2 linked regions of the Drosophila melanogaster genome follow. The protein of the gene in region 1 interacts with the protein of each later gene in a pairwise test. Each region holds a gene or a part of one and is shown on either strand. Other genes may lie near its edges.

What was found.
Region 2: the proteins of CG32206 (region 1) and Sema5c interact in a two-hybrid assay, tested with the Drosophila melanogaster proteins (one large-scale study listed by BioGRID).

Annotation. Positions count from the first base shown.
Region 1 is NT_037436.4:19,406,128-19,417,597, forward strand, and holds the start of CG32206 (uncharacterized protein), read right to left. Parts: upstream 6,786-11,470; 5' UTR 6,247-6,785; intron 1-6,246.
Region 2 is NT_037436.4:12,074,604-12,085,813, forward strand, and holds the start of Sema5c (semaphorin 5c), read right to left. Parts: upstream 7,228-11,210; 5' UTR 6,749-7,227; coding exon 6,744-6,748; intron 6,356-6,743; coding exon 6,192-6,355; intron 5,438-6,191; coding exon 5,338-5,437; intron 1-5,337. UniProt on the Drosophila melanogaster protein: Regulates the motility of migrating epithelial cells by providing guidance cues within the migratory environment and may also play a role in development of the olfactory system. May act as a positive axonal guidance cue.

The sequences.
Region 1 (11,470 bases):
TCCGAATGAAAATTTGTAAGCGCAGCTGAAATATTTTCTCGGCAAACATTTTCCGCTTTCTTTTCCATATGCAGAGTAAAACTAAATGGCGTGTAACAAGCTCTGAGCCAGAAAAACAATAAACTGGCTGAGGCTTTCCCCGAAATATGGCGAAACTGAAGACTCGCGTTCGATGCGAAGAGGGAAAAAATTGAAAACATATTAAAGACTGGCGCCAAGAGTTGATCAAATTGATGCTTGACTTTTGGGACAGCGGCCAAAACCGATGGCACAGCAGAAAATTCTGCGAAACTTATAAACTTTGGCAGCACCAAAAATAAAAATAAAGTGAAATAGAAAAGCCGGAAAATGAAATGGCATGTGGGCGAAAAAATAAAAGAAAAAATGAAGCAGCCGCAGACGCAGAGGTCCTTGCATTTCTACGGCTCACGCAAACAGAGCGCAACGGACACGTAGTACCTCGTGGAAGTTACATCTCTCCAAGGATAAAGGGGGCGTGGCAGCAGGACCAGTGTAGCAACCAACAACAAAACAACAGCCCTCCTGGGCCTGCCAATGGCACAGTTCAATTTCGCCTGGCAAAATACAGCAAAGAAAAGAAACCCACTCGATCCTCGAAAGGAAAAAAGGAAGAACTCGCCGGAAAAGGTTGTCATCGATTTAATCAGGACAAAGTTTTATATATTCCCTTACAGATTGTTCAGTTGCCTTGGGTAATTGTGGCCAAGCTGACAATGTGAGAAGTTGGCTGGCAAACAAAAATGCCATGTGGCGAAATTTGTAGCCACTTCAATCAGTAAACTATTCAGGCTGTCTGGATTAAACTCTGATTTTCGCATTAAACTTAAAGAATAGTGATATGTGAAAGACATCTAAAAAAATCAAGCAAATTGTAAATAGCCTTAATCCCGAATCGTTTTATTATGATGTTCATTTATATGTATACAAGGAAATTAGTACATTTTCAGGCATAATTTATCAAACAAAAAATCTTATAAGGATTAGATATAATCATCGACCGTTTAGATAAATAATTGGTTTCTATTTCTTTCCCATAAAGCCATTCATTATCCAAATAAAATGTCCTAAACTTTGAGTGATATTTATGCAGCATACAATCTGATCCACTAAACTATTGGTCTATTTTGTGCACCGAAAAGTGTATTAAAAAATTCAATTTGTGAACCATGATTGCTGCATTTGGTAAAATGTTCTAACAATATTTTTTAGACAACCATTTTACTTTACTTTCTGTCATAACTTGCCAAATGACCATTGGGCGCAGTATCGAAAACAAATACAGCAGCAGTTGAAAAGCCAGTCCAAGTGCTTCAGTTTGCAATTGGCCACGTCAAGTTGGCTCCGAAAACTTTGCATAATTGGCAACAGCAACTTGACAAGAAGCCACTTGAATGGAGACCCTCGAACTTTCCCCTCCTTTCCCTGCAAATTTAATGCATCCGTTCTGGGAGCGAAGCCGAGTCCAGCGAAACACGCTCCTAATTAGTGGCGACCCTGGGCCCGTTTCAATTTCATTTTTTATTCCGCTCCCGCCGCGCACAAAGGCCAAACAGAACGAGAAATTTAATTATTTATGAAAACATGAAAAGCGCCCGCTCTGCCTGCGAACATTTTTCATTAGAGCCGAGAGTTGGCCCCACCAAAAAAAAAAAGGAAAGAAAAGAAAAGGAACACAGTACAATATAATTGCAGAGCCAAACCCAAACAGCTACCAACTTTGACCGACTACGGCCTGACCGCTATTGTGGCCTTGAAGCGACTGCAAAATGGCTCAAAAAAAAAAAGAGGTGGTGGATGGTGGAAAACGGGGGCTAACCTACATGTAATTTGTTTTTACGCCGAGAGTTCCGAGTTCCATTTTCAGCATGCAAGGCAAAGAGCAAACAGCAACCAGCAGTACGTACATTATAAGGCGCGATATATTAAACTCACACACGCGAAAGGGCCAAGAGCAGCCGAAATGGCCCAAAGAAGGGTTTTGCACGGAAGGGGAGTGGGGTGGTGGCATATAAAATAGCAGCGCTTTGCTAAAAGTCAAAGTGAAAGTACGATGCTCACGGAAGCCCCGAATAAAATGTCGGTCACATTATGGTAATTTACATTTGATATATCCACCAGCAAATGGATCCCGGTTCCGCATTTGGATAGCGATGTGCTACATATGCCTGATACTTTAATTTGATTGATGTTCCAAGCGGAATTCGGGGCTAATGTGGAGTATTCACATTATTTGTAACTTACATAAAATATATAATAATATTCTACATATGACGTTTGTTAAATGTTAAGTATTAGCCATAGATTTGTGCTGCCATTGGGAAACATTAAAATCAGGCATTCATTACAAATAGCCCTTATAAAAACTCGATAAGCTTGTTTTCATAATTCGCCCAGCGACAATTATTCTGTGTAAAATTCCACTGCAACTTAAAAGCCCATTGAATCGCTTGTGTACTTGCGGGAAAATCCCTACTTTACAGCTGAAAAGTACGGTTGAAAAAACACTGTTGGCTCAACTATTTACATTACAATATCGTGTTATATTGTGTTCTCAAACAAGCTGAGGCTAAATGCCAATAAAACAAGCGTTTTAACAACTTTTCCATTTTCATTCCCCTTCGTTGTTTCATTTTTTCGCAGCCATGTGTATCCTTTTTCATCATGTGCGGCCATCCTTCGCAGATCTCATGTATCTATGCATGCAAAATGCCCATTTTGGTTGTTGGCTTAATGTTTTTTTTTCCACTGGCTCGTCCGATGCCTTTTATTTTTGTAGCGCCACGTTTAGCCTTCAACTCTGGCCGCTGTTGGTTATTGATTTTCCGGGCTTCCTAGTAGTTTCGTTACAAGGTTTTTAATATTTAAACGCCGGCCGTGCCCTCACGCTCCGCCAGCGTCTATCTCTGTTGCGCAAACACAATTCGGAAATGACCCAAAAATGCTTAAATCTCAATAAAAGGGCATTTTGACTTGAACTGTCAGTCGGTGAGTGAGGCGAAGGGTTTTCTGGGTCGATGTGTCGGGTCGTCGGGTTTTGAGTCGGATGGAATTGGTCGGGAATGGGTGGGAATGGGTGGTAATGGGTGGCAATGGGTGGCAATGGGTGGCAATGGGCATGGGAAGCCAGCTTTCGATGGGGTCTGGCCTGTTGTTTTTAGTCGTCAACGTTTTCTATGCCAAGTACTCACACAGTGGCACACTCGCAGCCTGTTGTTCGCCCGGCAAAGTGAAATTGTGTTAAAAATCGCATTCCTTTCTGTACTTCTGTGCAGCGGAAATTGAAAATAGCGTCTCGTTGTGTGAGCTCTCGTCCTTGTTGTTGTCCCAGTTGCTGTGCGAAATGCTCATATGGCATGAAAATTTAATTGGAGTAAAAAGCTGGTGCACAACTCTCAAAAACTAGTTAGAGGGGGCCAAAGCGAAAATGGAAAGCGCAGAAAAAAGCGAGAAATCGCCAGGAAAACTAGCACATAAATCAGCGAGAGTTTCCTATTCTCCCCGCCACCTTTCACCTCTCTCTCTCTATTTTCCGGTCCGAGATTGAAATGTGCATACGGCATTAGCTTTAAAAATGGAAGAAGCTTATATAAATAACATGAATCTTGTGTGTGCGGCCAAGTGGCAAAACCAATGTTTATTAGTCATTTTAGTTGCCGAGTTGCCTCTCTATTTCGAATATAAGTAAAACAAATAATTCTTCTAGCTTGATTATTATGTATAGGCTTATGTGCTCATATAAGTGATCAGCTGAATTGAATTGAATTGAATTGTTTATTCAAGTTAAAGCCTGTACTTTTTTACATTTTTATAAGTCAATAAATTTTACTTCGGAATTTAAATAGTAAAATGGACGCCTCTTGTTATATATCGGCAATGATACATGCCAAATAAAATCGAAGGGAGTACTTTCCTCAATTCCGATCATTTCCGTTTCCGATTTGGCACACTTTCGTTTCGCCACCCACACAAGCGAGCACTGCAAGTAGCGCCTAAGAGCAGGCTACACAGAATAAATTTATGATGACCAGCCGAGGAAGTTTGGCATGCATAAAATGTAACGATATCCCAGCTCAAGCCAAAATAAACACTTAATTTATGCCAGAACTCACAACTAGTCCATGAGTGTGAATGTGTGGGTGCAGCAGTCGCCTGCGGGCTGCACTGCAGATAAATCAAAGTCCGCAAAAAGTCTTTGACACCGCTCTCGGCCATGGTCGAGTGGCTGTTGGGGCGCCACCTCCAAGCCCAAACCCACTGCTCATCAACTTGGAGGTCTGCCTAACACTCGGAAAAATTATCACTAAGTTCCATTACAGTTTTGTCGGTTTTCCATATTTAAATGGCTTTGTTCTGTACATTCTCAGATATAACAATTTTTATAAGGTAACTCGCGATTACAAATAGACTTACTACAGTTATGTGGGATAGGAAAAATTACCATTTTTGAATAGAATTTTGGTTATTATTATCATTATTTTTCCATCTGTAAATTTCCATATCCTAATATAATAATGGTTTTTAAACTATTATAATTTTAATTGATTTGATAAGTACGAAAGATAATGTGGCACAGCCACCATTTTCAGTAATTTCACCAAAATAGTTTTTTGAACTCCTTAATCTATACGTTTATAATCTTCTCAATACAACATGATTGATGTTTTTAACATTTCTCTGCTGCCTAACAACAAGCATTCCTGTTAGTAAGTTCGATTTTTGGAATCCCATCTATGGAATTTTCACTGCCACACCTATTGATATACTAAACATCGTTTTTTCTGTGTGTTTCTCTGGAGAATCTGAAACAAAAAACACGTTACGTGCACACATATTCTGCTGACATCAGCTGTTTTGGGTAGAGCTTACGGCTTAGATTTTAGCTCTGACCTCGTTCTCGCACGGCCCACAAGCCAAAGTAACAAACAAGTATAAAAACACAGAGAAAATAAAGCAGAGTAAAATACGGCAGAACACGCCAGAAGACAACACAAGAATATGTTGTCCGATGGGCAAATATTTGTCGTAATGCGTAGAGCAAACAAAGTGCCTCTGATGATGGAAATATATTTGGGGAAAGTCTCGAAGCGGCAAGCCATAATGCATAACTCATACGCCACGTGGGCGGGAACCTCCACTTGATGTGAGTTGATATTCGCCTCCTTTTTCTTGTACCCGTAGAATGACAAAGTTAAAAGGGGCGAGTGTAGATATCGCAAATGGGTCGTCATCAACAATCTTTAAGGCGAAATTAACTTGACACTAGAGAGAGATACGAGCGCAAGAAAGTTTTGAGACTCATTTAAAGCATAACTTTTCAAATACCTTTTACTCATCAAACGAATGGCAGGTCTGCGTTTTATGAAGAGCATAATTCTCAGAATCCTGTTGAAATGTACTTGAACCTTTAAAACAATAATGTTGTTGGTTAAATTAGGTTACAGGAACGCCAATAAACTTTTTAAACGTCAGGCTTAACATATTTTTAAACATAATTAAGTCCACAACCGCGTCTCCAATAAAGCCAATATAGATATATTTTTTGACTTTGTGCTTATATTCGAAAGTTTTTGAAGGAGTTTATCCACTTTTCTTAACATGGAATTCTTTTAAATATTTAAATGAAAGTACCAAGCTCATCCGCTGCCAAAAAGTCCTCATTTGTGTTACAAACTCAATTCCATTAAATATTTGCCTGCCACAGATCCGAAAACAAAGCGGCGTAGTCACATTTTCATTACTCAAGCACTCGAGACCGGAAATCTGTGTCCTGACCTGTCTCAAAGTTCGTTTGGCTGGGCTACCTGTAATGCAGTCACAGGCCGTAAATAATAGACAAAAGCCAAAGCCAAAAACTATGTCAGCCGGGGCACACGAAAATAACCAATACACAAGTAATCCAACAGTTTGTAGTCCTAAAAGAAAGAGTACAAGTACGAATCCAGCGACAAGAGGCTGCCTGCAGACAATTCTTTGTAGCCGCCTTAAGGATTGTTCCCCCTATATATGTATGTATCTCCTGCCATATCGTATATGGAGTACATAATGTATCCATGTGTGTCTAACCGAGGAGATAAGTTGCGGCACACACACTAAAGAGGGCAGCCTTTCTCGGTGGGATTACCTCCTTTCCACACCAAATTTTTGCCCCATCCTTGCAAGTGCGGCAGGAAAGGAATTTTCAATTTTTGTTCTTTTACTTTTTGACTGACTTGGCACTTTGCTTACTTTAAGTTCGCTTAGTTGATGAGCTGCTGATGACTGGAAACTGCCTACGAAGATGCTTCGTTTGCTTTTATTACAATTGTTTTTTGCTCTGTAGATCCTTATGTTTTTGTGGGTGACATGAGGCGTCGGCGACCTTGACTGTCAGCTGCACGCATTTCACTGCTCGAGCCTCGGAGGAGAGGCTGCTCTTTAAATCTTCACTGTTTCATCAGCATTTTCCCAGTGGTTTAAGTGTGGCTCTGCTGCTGGGCAATCAATAAAACAACACTCCGCACACGTTGCGTATACGTAACGACTATCTGCTGATTCGGCACAATTTTGCTCTGGGAAAAATCACAAGAACACACGGGGCACTAAAGCACTTTAGCACTTAAGCAGCAGAATTTTCCTGCATTTTCATTGCTGTATTTCAATTAAATTTTTAACTTCATCCGCTTAACTCAACGCGCTGGGCGATTTATGCGATTTTCCCTGGCTGCGCGCTGGGTATTCTGCACGTAACGCGTCCTTGTTTCAACTACTGACATTCGAACGTAATGAGTTGGCCACAAACTCGGAATCCTGGACGCCCCGAAAGGCAGGCCAAAAAGAAGCTTTCGCCTCTCTGGCACTTCCATTCAGCGGATTTTGTGCGCACGCGCAGCCAAGATTTTCATTTTCCTCCGCTCTGCACGTGCTCCCGCTTTTCCGACTCTTGCTGTTGCCTCTCCACGTTTTTGTTTTGTTTTCGCCATTCGTCGTTAGGCAAGGTTAACAAAAACAAAGCTCTCTCCGTCGGTGTGAGCGTTTGCCCGTGCGTCTGTGTGTGTGTGTGTGTGTGTGTGTCTGGGCGCCAACATTCCAAAACATCTGATTGCTGTCAAAAAATGTTGCATGCGTCAGGGATTCTGACGGACATGCGCGTTTTTCCGAGGATATTATGTTCCCGATTTCAACTTGACTCCGGTTAATGTGGGTTAATTCTGGCACGGCATTGCGATGGTCAGGTGAGCTCGGATTGTTCGGAATGTCCGAAAATTCCAAGACACATCGATTTGTGCTGATTTTAGTGGCCAGGCTATAAAGAAGCAGAATTCGGAGGTGCACAATGGTAATGGGATTATTTGGCAGCTATATAGATATATATATATATATATTAAAGGCCTTTTAAGAAGCACAATTGCATACTAGGTTCAAATATTCGACAAAGTTGCTCTAAATAATGAACAACTGTAGGAAAATACATAATTCCATGCCATAAGAAGCGCTTAAAGTAAAGCCCTTTGAGAGGGATATCTACCCTAAAATAGAGTAAATCAGAGCTTATCAACAGCCTAAGCCAACATTAAAGTGCCAGCACCCACTGTGCCACCAGGTGGCATCTGCCTTTTGCTGCGGACAAACCCGAAACTAACCACCAATTACGCGTACGCCCCTCTGCCGGAAAACAAAAAATATGCCACGAAGCGCTGGCTGGAAGCGAAATTACGGCGGGCACCGCAAAATAAAATGAGACAATTCCGGTCCAGGAGGACCAAAGCCAGGTTCCCAGCCCGGTCTTGCACCTGATCCAGCGGCAGTTAACCCCAACTGCAGCTAGTTAGTTAGTTTCTGGCGACCTGCATGCATGCATACTCGTACATATTTCAGAAAAGTTGCGACATTTTCGCAGGGGTTACTTTTTATTTTGCAGCCGGCGCGTGAAAATCCGAGAGGTGACACTTGTCCAAATTATCTTGCTGGATAAACAAGCGCACTTAACGTGTTATCAGATGCAAACGATGCCGGGATCCAGGATCCCGGATCCAGGATGCAGGATCCAGCAGGACGGCGCTGCCACACACACTCGCACTCGCCGAGGGTGAGAACATAACCAGCATTGTAATCAAAAGCAGGCGAAGGCTGGAGGAGCGAACAAAACTGACATGCAGTTGACTCCAAAAGAGTCGTAGCCTCGCAGGACACGCGGCGAAGTCCTCCTGCCACCACCCTCCATCCAATGGACGCTCGGCAGTCAGAGTGTGACAGAGTCGACAGGGAAGCATCTTTGCACTGTAAACAAGCTTTACCCCAAAGCAGCCCACTAAAATGTCAGGTGTTCGTACCACAATTTAAGCATCTTTTAATTATGAACATATATAAGTACTTCTACTTCTCTCAGAAAAAGTGTGAGTTTCGTTCCTATAAAGAAAGTTGTAAAGACAGATAAAAAATGATACATTTGGATTCATACTCATATTCTTAAGCAGCGGCGCTTTAAGGAATAACGATTAGAAAATCCCAGAAGTTTCTTCCAGTGCACATGAGTGTGAGTGCAGGACCTTGTTTGTGTGCGTCCGCACAGGCGACAGCTGCTGCATAACCCATACAACCCGTACAACCCGTGCAACCCGTAAAACCCGTACAACCCATATAGCCCATGGAACCCGAACAAGCCGCGCACTCAAGGCGAGTTGAAAATGTTTAACACGAAAAGGAGTTATCACGCTGACAGCCTAGCTGAGGCCCGGGGCCGAGCGTCAGAGGATTCCGGGCACTCGCTGGAGTCCGGAGTGCGGAGTCCCGAGTCCGTGGAAGTCGACGTGCCTCACTGCAAAATTATGACAAAGTTCTGCGGAAGAAAAATGCCGCAGAGGGCGTGGAAAAAATGCTTTGAAATGAAATCCAGAAAATAGGGTTCGCTTCCCTTTAAGACGCGTGATGTGCTAAGCAAGTAATGATTGCCCGAGGATAAGTCGTTGGCTCCCGAGAGATGGAAATGGTCTTGAATTACTTTAATGCCAGTCCCATAAGCCTTAGCCAAGGATAGTTTTGTAAGTTTCCTCGTTATTATGAGCCCTACTGACTTACTGAGCTACATACAACAAACTTTTAGATACGAAACTTAATACTATTTAGATATTCACAAGTAATAACATAATACAGTAATAATATGACAATGTTATGCCAAAGCGAATAAACTTTACTACTCTATTCAACACATTAAAATATTATTATATATCCTTACACGATTTAGAGTACACTGTTAACAATTACTTATTCGATTTATTTGGATAATTTGGATTTCGTAGGCTATAAACTTCCTTCCTAGGGAGAACGTGGCTTAAATTGGAGGGTCAAAACCGCAGGCAGTGAGACAAGTCTCAGACAGAAATGGGTGGCTTGGAAAATCGGCGGGGGGAAGTCGTGCTAAGTCCTAGACAGGACACCACGCCTATGTTCATCGGGGGGTTGTCAGCTAGTGACACTCAGTAACCCCCATCTGGTTTTTTTGGTCTCATTCCGCCTGCAAGTGAGATGAATGCGCGGTCGAAGAGATGAAGTGGCCACAGTTGTTGCGGCTCGGAAAAATTAAGTTCCTGGAGGTCGTGGTTTCAGCATTTTTCCTGCTTTCCCCAGTCGATTAAAATGGCATAAATCTGTCGGTTTGCCGCTGCGGTGGCTTTAGTCACCTCAGAATTGGCTTTAAAATCTGTCCACGAGGCATTTAACACGGCGGCCGCACGGATTATGGCTAAGTCGGCGTGGCTAATTACACATAAAGCGTCCGTGTTCTGTTTCTATATCCATGTACACTGAGCCAAATACCGTTGTTCACGTCAAAATAAAAACTTGCTTGTAAGCCATAGAACTTCGATACTAATTAACACGATTAAACTTTTGTATTATATACTATTTTGTTATCCTAAATTGCGATTTTATATTTAGTAACAAGGTGTTTTGTTTTGTTTTTTTACTTGCAGTCGTGAGAAAAAATACGGTGTCAATAACGTATTTTTGTGGTGCACCCTTGTTGTTTTAGGCATGGCTAAAAACAAAACATGGTCACAAAAGGCAACTTAACCCGTTAACGCGTTAAAGAGCAAGCCGAGTGGCTAAAAGCTATGCCGAGCAGCGACTACGGCTATTATGATGCTGGAGATTATGAAGCTGGCTAGGATGATGATGACTACGGCGACTGGTTAACTCTGGCTGACTGGCTGCCTCGGTTTACTGGTTGGTTGCCTCGCCTTTTTGCCCGGCCCAAGTTGGCCAAAAGGGGTTGTGGAATGGCAAGTCAAAGACTTTTTGAGTGGACTGCAGCACTCTGCAGAGGTTAAACACTAACCTGATGATGCCAAGCACAGCCGCACAACAGCAAGAAATGTGGAGAGGACTCCAGGGGTTTGCGATGGTTTAAGGCATATTTAGAACACTCTTTTCGGGCGTGGTAGTAGCATTTATTAAACCACTTCGAAAGTTAGAAATATCATCGCTACCAAATAAAATCATTACATTGTTATATATCCTGTAGGCCAGAGGACAAGAACTCCTCGCCAAGCAAAGCAAAAAAAGCAACCAAATATTTCATAAAAATTTGGAGCTTTTGAACCAACTGCATTTGATAGTTGAAAGACCCTGGACGTTCTGGCTCCGTCCTGCAAAACCATCAAAGTGGGGTTCTGTTTATGCAAATATGTTTGGGTCTGAGGTTTTTCTTTTGCCGCCCGTGTTGTCGTCTCTGCACATTTGCAACTGTGTTAGGCGTTATGTGGAAAGCAAAAGGAGGCACAGCATTTGGAAACAGGTGAAAATGAAGACATTTTGGGTGTGTTCAAGTTGAAGTTTGTTTGCTGGGAATTTGTGAGAGTTTGTTTACCTTTTGCTGGCCAGAAACTTTTTGCGGAGTTTCTTTTTTGGGCAGTTACCACTTTAAGAACATGAGCAAACAGCAATGTGGTTGCAGTCTTGAAATATGAAAACATGATGACTTTATGAACACTGAATGTGTTCACTTTTTTTGGCATATGTTTTTGTGAGTTATTTTATTTTTTGTTTACCTATCTTCTGCTGGTTGCGGTGTGTGTGGCATCATCAACGATGTTGTGACGTTGACGAATAACTTTTAACACTTTTTGCTAACGCAGCCGGTTAGCTTCAAGTTTTTAACGTTGTTAAAGAAAAAAAAGCATAGTCCCAAATGTAGTATAGTATGCAATAAATTTCTATTATGGTGAAGGGTGGTATGACAAGGACTTTTGATTTATACCATTACTGTTGATATATAATATTTCGTTTGCATTTGCATCTCCGTTCTTATGAAGCTTTATTCCTGTTGCTAGACAAATGCAAATAATTCAAACTTAATTTCCCATCCGAAAGCCAAAAAATGTGAGGTATATTTTTTTACATTCGGAAAACTGATAGCGAATAGGAAATATATATATGTCTTGACTTTAACAAGAAGCTGGATACTTCCGCGATC
Region 2 (11,210 bases), 7.3 Mb from region 1:
GAAATCATATCAATTCGTAAAAACAACTATGACGAAGAATAAAGCCGTATTTTTAATGCTTTTGTACTTAGAAATGAAGACAGCAAAAATATATGAAATATTATCTTACAGCCTCGATATAAATTACTAAAGACGATAAATATGTATTTTCATAGAAAATAAGCATTATATGTATATTCTACACATTTGTATTTATGTTCTAAAATCCAAAACAAACCGCAACAAATTCTAAACAAGCGTAGCAAATTCCCAAAACGTTCTGTTAATTTCATACACAGTAAAATAAGCTATAAATAAAAGTTTTTAAAAACTTCAAAGATGCAACGTTTCTGCTTTCTTAGTTCTTCAATGGCTTTAGAAACTATTCAATTTTTTATGCGTGCCTGTCAAGTTCAATGCGCTGTTTTTTTATATTTTTATTTCTGAGTGAGACCAACAAAACTACGCCCAGTGAGCGATAAGCAACGGCCTTGTCAATTAGCATTGGCTTTCGAATAGCTAACCCCCCCCTCCCCCTCTTGCGCACTCATCATCAGCCGCCTCACCTGATTTTATCATTCGTTTCACCTGGCGACAGCGAAAATTCCGCTTAGGTGTGAAAAAAGGGCGATACACATGTACCGCTTTTCTTTCTGTTTTCTATTTTTTTTTATTGTGTGCTGTTTTGGTTTGTTTGCTTAGTTGTTTAATGTTTATTTGTTTCTTCATTCTTTGCCATTTGCTATCTCAACGGAGCGCGTGCGTGCAAATATGCCAAATTCGCACATGGAAATGGTCGGATGTTTGCCCAATCGATCATCATATGGGTTATCTTCTGTACCTGCTCAAAGCTTTCCTGCTGCACTTAGAAATTCTTTACATATTTTCTGATCTCTAACGAGTCTTTAGCTTCGAAAGCTCTTGAGATTATTAAACTAAACAAAAAACATTCTATAAAACTTTATTCTGATATCTATAAGTTAATCTAAACTTGTTATAAAGCGGCTTACAATAAGGTAAATATTTGCCTTTTGTTGCAAAAACGTAATATGAAGATCAATAAAATCATGCCAGCTGTGCAGCTTAAACTTGTGCAATACTCGGGCGAAAAGAAATAAAATATAAATATTTAAAAAAAAAACCCATAAAAATTGGGTAAACCGTAACGCTGTTAAACTCGCCATGACCCATTTGCACCACACCACCCACTTATCCGCACAACAGACCACAAAAATGATCTACATGTAATGTATCTGTATCTGGAAGTATTTTCGTATCGATATGGTCGAGTGTGTGTGCACCCCTGAGCATTCGCAATTCGCTTATTTCGCACACCTTGCGCCGCCGTCAACTTTTATTTGAACGACAAGCGCGACAAGATAACAAAAAGGCCTCTTTGTAAGCGCAGTGGAGCAAGTGGAGTTTGGAGTTGGAGTTGAAGTTGCGGCCCCATAGATACCAGATACCAGATACGGATACATACGAGTATTCGACTCTCTTTCGATCTGAGACTGCGACCGAGACTGGGGCTATTAAAAATGCGGTGTCGCCGCCTGTCGCCTATTGCCAGTCATTTGGATTTGGCCAGGTACTAACTATACTATATAGCACCATGCCACCATGTTGGCCAAGTGGCCGCCGGTGCGCCAGGTGCGTGGGCGTCCTGTCCGCCGCTCCACTGGCGGCAAATCACGCTCTGGCCGGGCTTAAATGGGTTACTTGTAATTAAAATTGCCGTCGCACTGGCCGCCACTAATCTCGGCTGAAACTGCAGCATTTACAGGCAAGCTTCGAAAAGCGAATTTTTCACTTGACTAAAGGAAAATTTGATTCGACATTTAACTGTGTTATTAAAGGGTAAATCTAGGTAGTAAATAGTAATTCCAAAATGAGTAAAAGTCCAGCTTGTAGCTTTCTTATAGCTAAAGTCATAATCTGGATTTATAATACATTCTCTTGGGTAAACTTGTAAGCTAGGAACTGAAATGTTTAACTTGCTCAGCATGTTTCTTCATAGGCAGTTATGACTGTGCCACTTTTATGAGCTCTGCCTACGCTACCGCATTCCAGGCTCTCAATATCAATCCGCGTTCGAATAGCTTTGTGTCAGTCTGGAGCCACTCAAGGGGTTTTTAATAGAAATATGCAAAATGCTTGCCAACAGTTCGCAAAACGCCCTGACCCCACCCCCCTCTCCTTTTGCAAACGCCCCTGTTTGCGAGGGGGGTGCCGGGTTTCTGGTGCAACACGGTTTGATTAATTTGGATTTCAATTTCGGCATCCGTGTGCTCCAGTAGCCGTCGAGTTGACGCGACTGTCACAGGTGCATTTTTGTATCTTGTAGTTCAGAGATTGAGTTTCAAGTAATTTGGGCAGTTTGGGTGGTTCCTAGCCAACAACCATAATGATTTATTACACAAATGTTTAGTTTAAGCTGGATTGCTATGAGAAAAACATATTTAATATTGTACAGTCAGACACTGCGCTCCCATTGAAATAAAATCCCTGACGTGGCATTGTCCACTCCAAGATTTTCGAGTGGAAAAACAATATTACGGGTAATGCACAACACACGAAAATAATTTCCTTGTTTATATAACATTTTGTTTGGCCATATGTATAAACATTTGAAATGGTTCCCAGCAGGTCATTTGCATGCTCCATTTGCGACAGGCCACAACATAAAATACAACGCTTATGCGACCCCTCCGAAAAATAATACCTACATATGAAAATAATGTACTGGTAATGTAGGAACTGAACTCACACAAAAAAAAAGGCTCGAAGGCAAGCGAACGAAAGCGAAAACAAAAAGCAATATTATTTTAATGCAGTCTATATCAAATTTCGGCCAGTTGCATGGGACACTGCGAGCCAAATGCACTGCGATGTACAAGAAAGACTTTTATAATAATTTGAAAACAACATGCCAGTGAACATTAATTCGAGCTAAGTATTAAAAAGAAAATATAATTTGTCTCAATAATAAAATTTTTTGAAACCTAAGTAGCTAATTTCTCTCAGTGTACCAACATGCCGCTCCATTTTCCTGTTCATGACAGAAAATTACGCGACGGTTACCAACCGAGCAAGTTGCCTCGTCACTCGTCATGGAACACGGGCAAAAGACTGAAGGAGTCCCATATCCATGCCCATTCCAGTCCCGATTCCATGCCCATTCCACCACTCTCGATTCCATTCCCATTTTCCAGAGCCGAGCCCGTCAACAGGCGGCTGGCAGTAATCCGATCTTGCAGTCGTGTCAAGTGTGCTGCAGTCCAGATACAAGGAGCATGCACTCACCAGCACATCTGCACAGCAAATACACCGCACAGATACAGATACATTTACAGATACTATGTAGTATGTGCATAGTACCACTACCAGTTCATTGGCAATTGCCCATCTAAACCACAGAAATCATAAAAACTATTGTTCGACTGTGTAGTTTTGATGTGATCGGCCGGATTGCCACAATTAAAATGCGGTCTGCGATTAGAGATGGTTTACGTTGGGGGTTTACTTCGAGGGTCATTCGGTGGGTTTCGACTTTTGCGGGTCTTCAAAGCGAGCACCATACTTCTATTTTATTCGAAGGAAGCCTTATCGAAACTGCTTTAACAAGAATGATAGTTAACCTCAGGTGGTTTACTAGAGATTAGGACTGAAATTGGTAGTGCACCAAAAGTGGTGGCACTTATCTCGTACCAAATTAAATCGCTACGTGCAATCTTCAGTTGATTTTGATTTGAGATTGTAATGATCCATAGTGTATATTCCAAAAATTGAATAACAAAAAGGTAGTTACAATATTTACTTCATAAAGTTCAGACTACTTGATATTTCTTTGCAAAAATGTAAGCAAACATTACTGATTCATAGCAGTCACTAAGTAAGACTTGTGTCAATCGAAGTAAAGTCTTTAACCTATATATCTAATCAAGACCTCCTCAACTTTCACAAAATAAAAGTTTATCTCTCATCGAAGCAGCTCAAAGTATTGAGCACAGTCTCAAGGCAAAAAGTTAAAAGAAATCCCAGAGGCTGGTGCTATCTAAAAACCCGTCTAGTCCCTTTGCTTAGTTGGCTCTATCAACTAAGCCCACACATTATAAAAATAAATTACGTTTTATGTGGTTAATAAAGCCCACTTGCCTATCTGGCCGCCTACTTACAGGCAGCACCATAATTCCCTCTATATGGAGCAACTGCCCTTCGCTACAAACGGTTTTCTTTTTTTTTTTTTTTAATATCGGGCTCTTATCATTATGCCATAATTCAGAGGTTGGTAAATAAGAGAGCAACAAAAAATATGGCAGAGTGGAGTTATGGTCGAAGTGAAAATCGTAGGCAATAAAGAATAGAAAAGGCAACTAAAACTGAAACTGAAAAGTATGACAAATGATTGACGACAAGGGAACATGATAAACGACTTCCCTTCCCGGGCAGCAATGGGTTAAGGTGGGTTTATCAACATGACGACACTATAGACACATGCGTCCATGTGTGTATCTTATCGTGTTTTTTTTTCCGACAGAGGTGGAGTAGTATCGCATCCATATCTATGCGAAGCAGAAACAAACAAACTTCAAGACGCGTAAATGAAAAGTAAACTACAAGAACCGAGTAACCCGGCTAAAGCGACAGATACTTTTGTATCTCGAAACGCGTATATTAAATTGCTCAACAAATAAACGGAGTATACCACTTCTCCCTCGGCGCTGCAATATTATTATTTGGTTACCTTTTCGGTTTTGTTCCCTTTCCCTCTTTTCTTAATTTTTTTATTCTTTTTTTTACACTCAATTATCTTTATTTATTCACTTGCGCACAGCAGGTACTTGAGATAAGTTCTCGACGAGGGGTTTTTTTTGTTTTTGGTCGATCTTGGTTGATATGTAAAAAATCTTTGGTATACCAGTGCGTGCACTTTCATTTTTATACACTTTTGTGTATTTTTTTGTAACTTGCGTAATACGCTAAAAAAACACAGAAGACGAATATAATCAGTACCCGTTTTACGTACGCAATGCATCTGTTTATTTTCTTCTGATCGTCGAATTTTACGTAATGCCTCTCTGCTGATAACCCAAAGTTAACAAATGCTTAAGTGACGATTTATTTTCGGGGGTGTTTTCCCTTTTCATTTCTTATCGCTATCAATGCCCAAAATAATGACCCACTTATCGGTGAGACTAATTAAAAAGCAAGTCCTTCAAACAGTACATATCTTTGGGGTTTTGACGCAACAGGAAAAATAAAAACAGTCATAATGACTAGGTACACGGCTTAGCCGTGACTCAATTGGCCGGAAACAAAATCTATAATAACTAATAACAATAGCCTCCCGGTTTTTACCTGGCGCCGACAATCACTTGGTTCCTGGCCACGTCGAATAGCATTTCCGAATACCAGGTCGTTTCGGGATCGTAAAATCGTTTGGCCGTCGACATTAAATCTGTTAAGAAAATAAAAACATTTTTGTAAGAAAAAGATTGCACAAAATCGTAAAAACAAATACTAAGCAATTTAATTGAAGTTTTATTAGCAATTATATTAGCAATTATTATATAAGCAATTATTATCTCAGCAATTATATTGCAAATTTATTAAAACATTTTGGCATCTTGGCACAATTAAGCTCAATTTTATTTAACCCATATTTTTCAAGGTTTTTAAAAGATTCACTGATTCATTGGTAAAACATATACTTTTCAATATTTAAGTGCGAAATAAAATAAAAAAGCGCTAAACAAAAATTAAAATCATTGTCAACACAACGTTGGGCTGAGTTCGCATTTTAAGACGGACTTCGAGATACATTTCAGTGCAAAAATCACAAAAAAAGAACAAATATTTTAACAAAATGCGAAACTTTTTCTGATTAAAAGCAGCAGATACACGAATGTATTGGGGTGTCATAAAAGCGGTTTGTTGGGGAACTCGGTTAAATCGAGATCATTGTTGACATTCCGTGCAAATACAAACAGTTGGGCAGATGGGTGTATTCGTTGTATTCGAAATGGCACCTGTTCGATCGAACCGAACATTTGTGCAATCGATTGCAGCAGACTCTCGGAATCACTTAGAACTTTGACAGACATCAACCCAATTTACAGTTCCACCGCTTCAAGTGGCCAACTTGATTGATTGCCGTGCAATTGACACAGTTTCGAGTAATTTTTGATAATCCGCCCACCTCGAGAACTCACCTTGATATGAGATGTATCGCGAATCGTTTTCCAGCAAATCCACACTTGATTTTGTCGTATAACCACTGCCCGTCGAAGGCTGTGGGCCTTCTAGGGTTAAGAGCGATAGAATCAGAAGAAGCCACAGTTGGCTAAACATTTTGGGAAGTTTCAGTATTAACATGCTGCAAAAAGAAAAGAAATGAAGTTGTAATGTGTGTTGTGGATATAATATAGTTTTTCATACATTTTTAACTAATTATCGACGTTCAACAAACGCTAACTCAATTTCTTCTTAAATGTTATTTATCCTCTTTTCAACTCAGAAATAACAGTTCTTAAATTTTTTAAATTAAAATTGTCTTCAATAATTCCTTAAACACTAGCTTTTAAATAAGTTTAAATTATATTTCATTTTGAATTATGTTTCACTATTTAACAGAAACCCCTTAATCTGTCCTGAAGATTAGTAATAAGTTTTTGTTGCAGCACTTTACACTTCCTCAAAAAATATTACAAAAATTGTAAACAGCAAAAAACGTCGATTATACAGATGAGATAGTCGAAACTTACTTCATTTAGTGTCACGTTTCGTGCAAAATAAAAGACTAAAATTTATTCCATTCAACTTTTGCGGCGAACAGATTGTAAAAGACTGTTGGTAAATTGTATAATATAGGCATGTGCCTGATAAGCAGGGGAATCGAGCAAGGCGCGTGTTTCTGATTCTTCAGATGATCTGACCGTAACTACGATCACCGTGGTTCACTTTGCACACAACACTCACAATTTTTCAATTTTCCATACGATTTTCGTATTATTTGAAAGAAATTTTCAGAAGAAAGGCGGATTGGCTCCCCCTCAAGTGGAGTTGGGTTAAAAACATTGACAAAAGACACAGATAGACACCAACAACACGGTCGACGAATATAGCGAGACGGGTTTTTACTTCTGCCTCGATTTCCTACTCTTATGATTATTCAGATACGAGTTATACGGACGCGCATGCCCGACCGATCGGCGAAGTTGACCGCGCAAAGAGTCGCAAGAAACTGAACCCACCATGGATTCGGATTCGGATCCATAGTCAGTCGATAGAGAGAGAAGAGAGTGAGACAGAGAAGCGAATGGAACGAAAACAAAAACGTGAAAACGAAGCACGAACGCAAAACAAAAAAAAAACGCCGAGGCAAACAAGAGAGAACAGGCTAAAACGCCGACGAAGATAACCGGCTCAATTTCGGCTTGAAGAATGCACTCGGAAAAAATGTGCAATACAACAAGGAAAAAAATATTTAAAATTCGCTTTCCTTTGATTCAAAATTTAAAAACGAAAATATATTTTACATAATTTATTCAAGAAATATTTTTCAGAATTATGTGTATTCGTTTTTAATGATTTTCTGCTAGTATCTTAAATGTTAAAGACTTTTCAAGCCTTAATTCATAAAATTTATAAGTACACAGAAGTGTAGCATAGTTTTGAGGTCCTTACCTATGAAATAATCCAATGAATTAAAAACTATATATAATATAATTCAACTGTAAAAATAAAAATAAAAAATAATAATAAAATAATTAAAAGACCTTATTTTCATCTTTGTAATTTATTATTTTAACTGAACTGTTTGTTAAATCGAATAATTTAAGGGCAAGTCTCTTAGATAGTAATAGCAATCCAAATTTATTTTTCAAGTCATCCCACAAAAGTAAGTACGAATTTCTCTCAGTGTCTGCTTGGGAGTTAAGAGGCGCGGCTACGGCAGCCGAAGCAGCAACTGGGCAGGGCGCTCATATATCATGCGACAACGACAACGAGAACGACTCTTCAGAATCAGAATCTGAATCTCCGGGATCGGGATCGGGATGTGCAGCTCCGCGAAGAGGTATAGAGAAGCCACTTGGAGGGTGGGACGGGCACTTGCTGTGCTTCGATTTGGTAGCCTGACAAATTGACATTAGTATTGCCGACGTCGCGGTTCGAGGACACGTGATATATTCCTCCAGACGAGGGATCAACAGATCCTATCTTTTCCGCCTTGCGACGTTTTTGCCCATCAGCAAAGATACTCGATTAGCAAATCATAGAAATGGCGCCAAAACAAATGATTTAATAGATTTTCTCATTCTATACAGATAGATAGTATAGTATATTTTTGATACAAAAGGAATGATTTATCACTTATTTAATTATTTCTTTATCATAATGAAGTATAAACGGTGTTTTAATGCTTTGTACAACAGTTTACAGTACCTGAATCACTCATCTCAAGTCCAACACCATAAAGTTCTTATTTAAGGAACAACAACAGATATGACGCATTTTCACGGGATTAGTTTTGCTCATTCACCTGGTGGGGCTTTGTTCTATTTTTTTAGTGTTCCTTCCAAGGTTTTCCTTTTACTGCAGACATCCCAGGCTGTACTATTCAGATCTTTGTCAGCCTTGACTCCCAGAGTAAGTGTGAAAACACAGCTGGTCGCTGAGAACAAATACGAAACCATCAAATGGACCGTCCCGAAGGTGCAGTAACCTCAACTTGAATGCAACTGCAACACGATCCTCGGATTTTGTTTATGCCACAGCACGAACCCAAGGGATACACAAACATGAGGACCGATGCCATCCGTCCAATCCGTTTCAATTCGATCCGGGAGTTAAAGTTGAGTGTGGGCAGACAACGATCGACATTAGCATAGGCCCAAAACATTGCCAGCCCATGACAATTTACGGCTACCTAAACCATTGTCGACGCGGCCTGCGTTTCTTGTCTTGGCCGAAAAGACACAGTGGCCAAATATGCTAATTTTGTTGGTAGTGATACCGATAGACGAAACCACTTCCCCGAGAACCCCGATAATTTACGGCTTAACTTTCCGACCGACAATTGTAATGTTAATGTGGCATCGGCTGGTTCCGTCAGGTAGGTCTAGTAGTTATATCTTCTTTTGTTAATATGGAAAGATCTTGGCTATCTTTGCTGGCCTGGCTACCGTAAATCACTTGGGTCCAAATTTTGGAGAAAGGGAAGCGTCCTTATCGAGGGCATATCCTTAGAGCGGTCGACTTCCTCTTCCGGCAGAGGGTTTAATGGTTTTCACCTGTCAATATTGTTATTAACCCACAAAGGGTTTCATTTAGCTGCATTTTGTGCACAGATAGGGAGGGTTTTCGTTTTGGGGGAGATTGACAGTCAGTTGATTCAGTTGGGTCGTTTGTCAATATTTGCATTTGTCATTTGTTTGAACCAAAAGTGAATTATTACGGCTTTGACAGAAGATAAGGGGTGAGCTGATATCTAATATCACTGAGAAAATGGCTAAGTTACTGGAATAAAATGAGATACATTTATTAAAAATATATTTCAATTCTGTTGTATATATTATATTTGATTTATGCATACCATTTACCCTTTATTAATTTTAATATATAACATATCAATCGAGAATTTTTAACTGTGTATGTAGGCTGTTCTATGTTGTTTGCTCCCGAATAATATGTTTTTATTTTGTGGTTCAAAATCCCTTAAATAAATTGTGGTCGCAACATATTTATGAATTACTCAATTGTTAACAGAATTTTCAACGACAGAATCACGAAATAAAAAATATCATTGTTTACGAACATACAATCAATTTATTAAATATTTCGCGTAATCTGATCCGTTTCAAGATCCAATCATAAGTAAATGAAAATCTTTGTTGCCAGTTTGGGAAAGCGAAAATAAATAAAATGCTCCACACGAAATCTACACTTTCCAGCAATAAAATGCAACTGCCGGCCCATAAATTCATAAAAAAAAAAAACTGAAACCGAGAACTGGAAAATATATAGTCCAAATGCGAATGTGTCTGTCTGGACCAATCAAATTGGCTGATGATCATCGATTGGGCATGCAAATTGAAAAGACCTTAAAATAGAATTGAATCCAATGAAGGGGGATTCGAATCAAAGTGCGAGTGCATTTCGATTTTCATTCCCAATCGATTCGATTTGAATTTTATTGGGGACACAAGGCGAGTCATAAATTGTGCCTCGTTGGCGAACAATTAAAATGCGTTGGTGTTGCACGGTTAATTTTGGGGTGATTAAAAATTGTCATGGGGCGAGGCAGTGAAAGATGAAAAATCGAAAAACGAGTATGCTAAGCAACTTTCCACGACGGACAGAAAGCGATAAAATAAAGTGGAAATCTGTTTTATTAGCCACCAAGAAAATGCCATTAAATATTAGAGGCCAGAACATAAATTCTGGCACAATCAAAAAAATACGATTCAATTGCGCGACCCTCAGGAATTGGAATTGAAAATTAAATCAGCTTATCTGCAGTCGAAAACTATTACAAATATAGGGTTCAAGCTCAAGCCAAACTATATTTTTCACAAAATTTATGACATCGCACGAGGCGATAAGCTAGGGTCATCCAAATATTCCAATTCGAGTTCAACCGATGGCGGCATCTTTGGAAACTGTTTGATTTGAATTCGAGTTACATATTTCATTTTGGGAATTGTGTAAATATTTCAAATCCATACAAATAATGTGTCGAAAATAAATAAATAAAGCCAATATGGTAATGAGCCACAGCCGGAGTGATCGAAATAACCATCTTAAAAGCTCAGTCATTAATTTGTGATTTTTTTTGGTCGCTTAACTTGTAAATTAAGCGAATAAATAACGTTGAAAAAGCTTTTATTAGGGGAATTCCGATATATCATTTGACATAACTTTTATATATTAATAATAATAATATTAATATCATTTCCTAATATTTATTACACATTTTTTTAATAATCATTTTGTTAAAAAACATATATTAAGTCATTTATTAAGTAGAATACCCTTTTTAATCTTAAACAAAACAACAATTTCCATATTAAATAGCTTAAGCCGTGATTTCATTTAGCGCTCGATTTATTGCAATAAAACAAATTTATTATAACCCTTGTGTGTAACGCTTTTGACCAAAGAAAATTAATAAGTTTTAACACAATTCCTACTGGATGGTAGCAAGATGATTTTGAAAATATTGGCGCAGG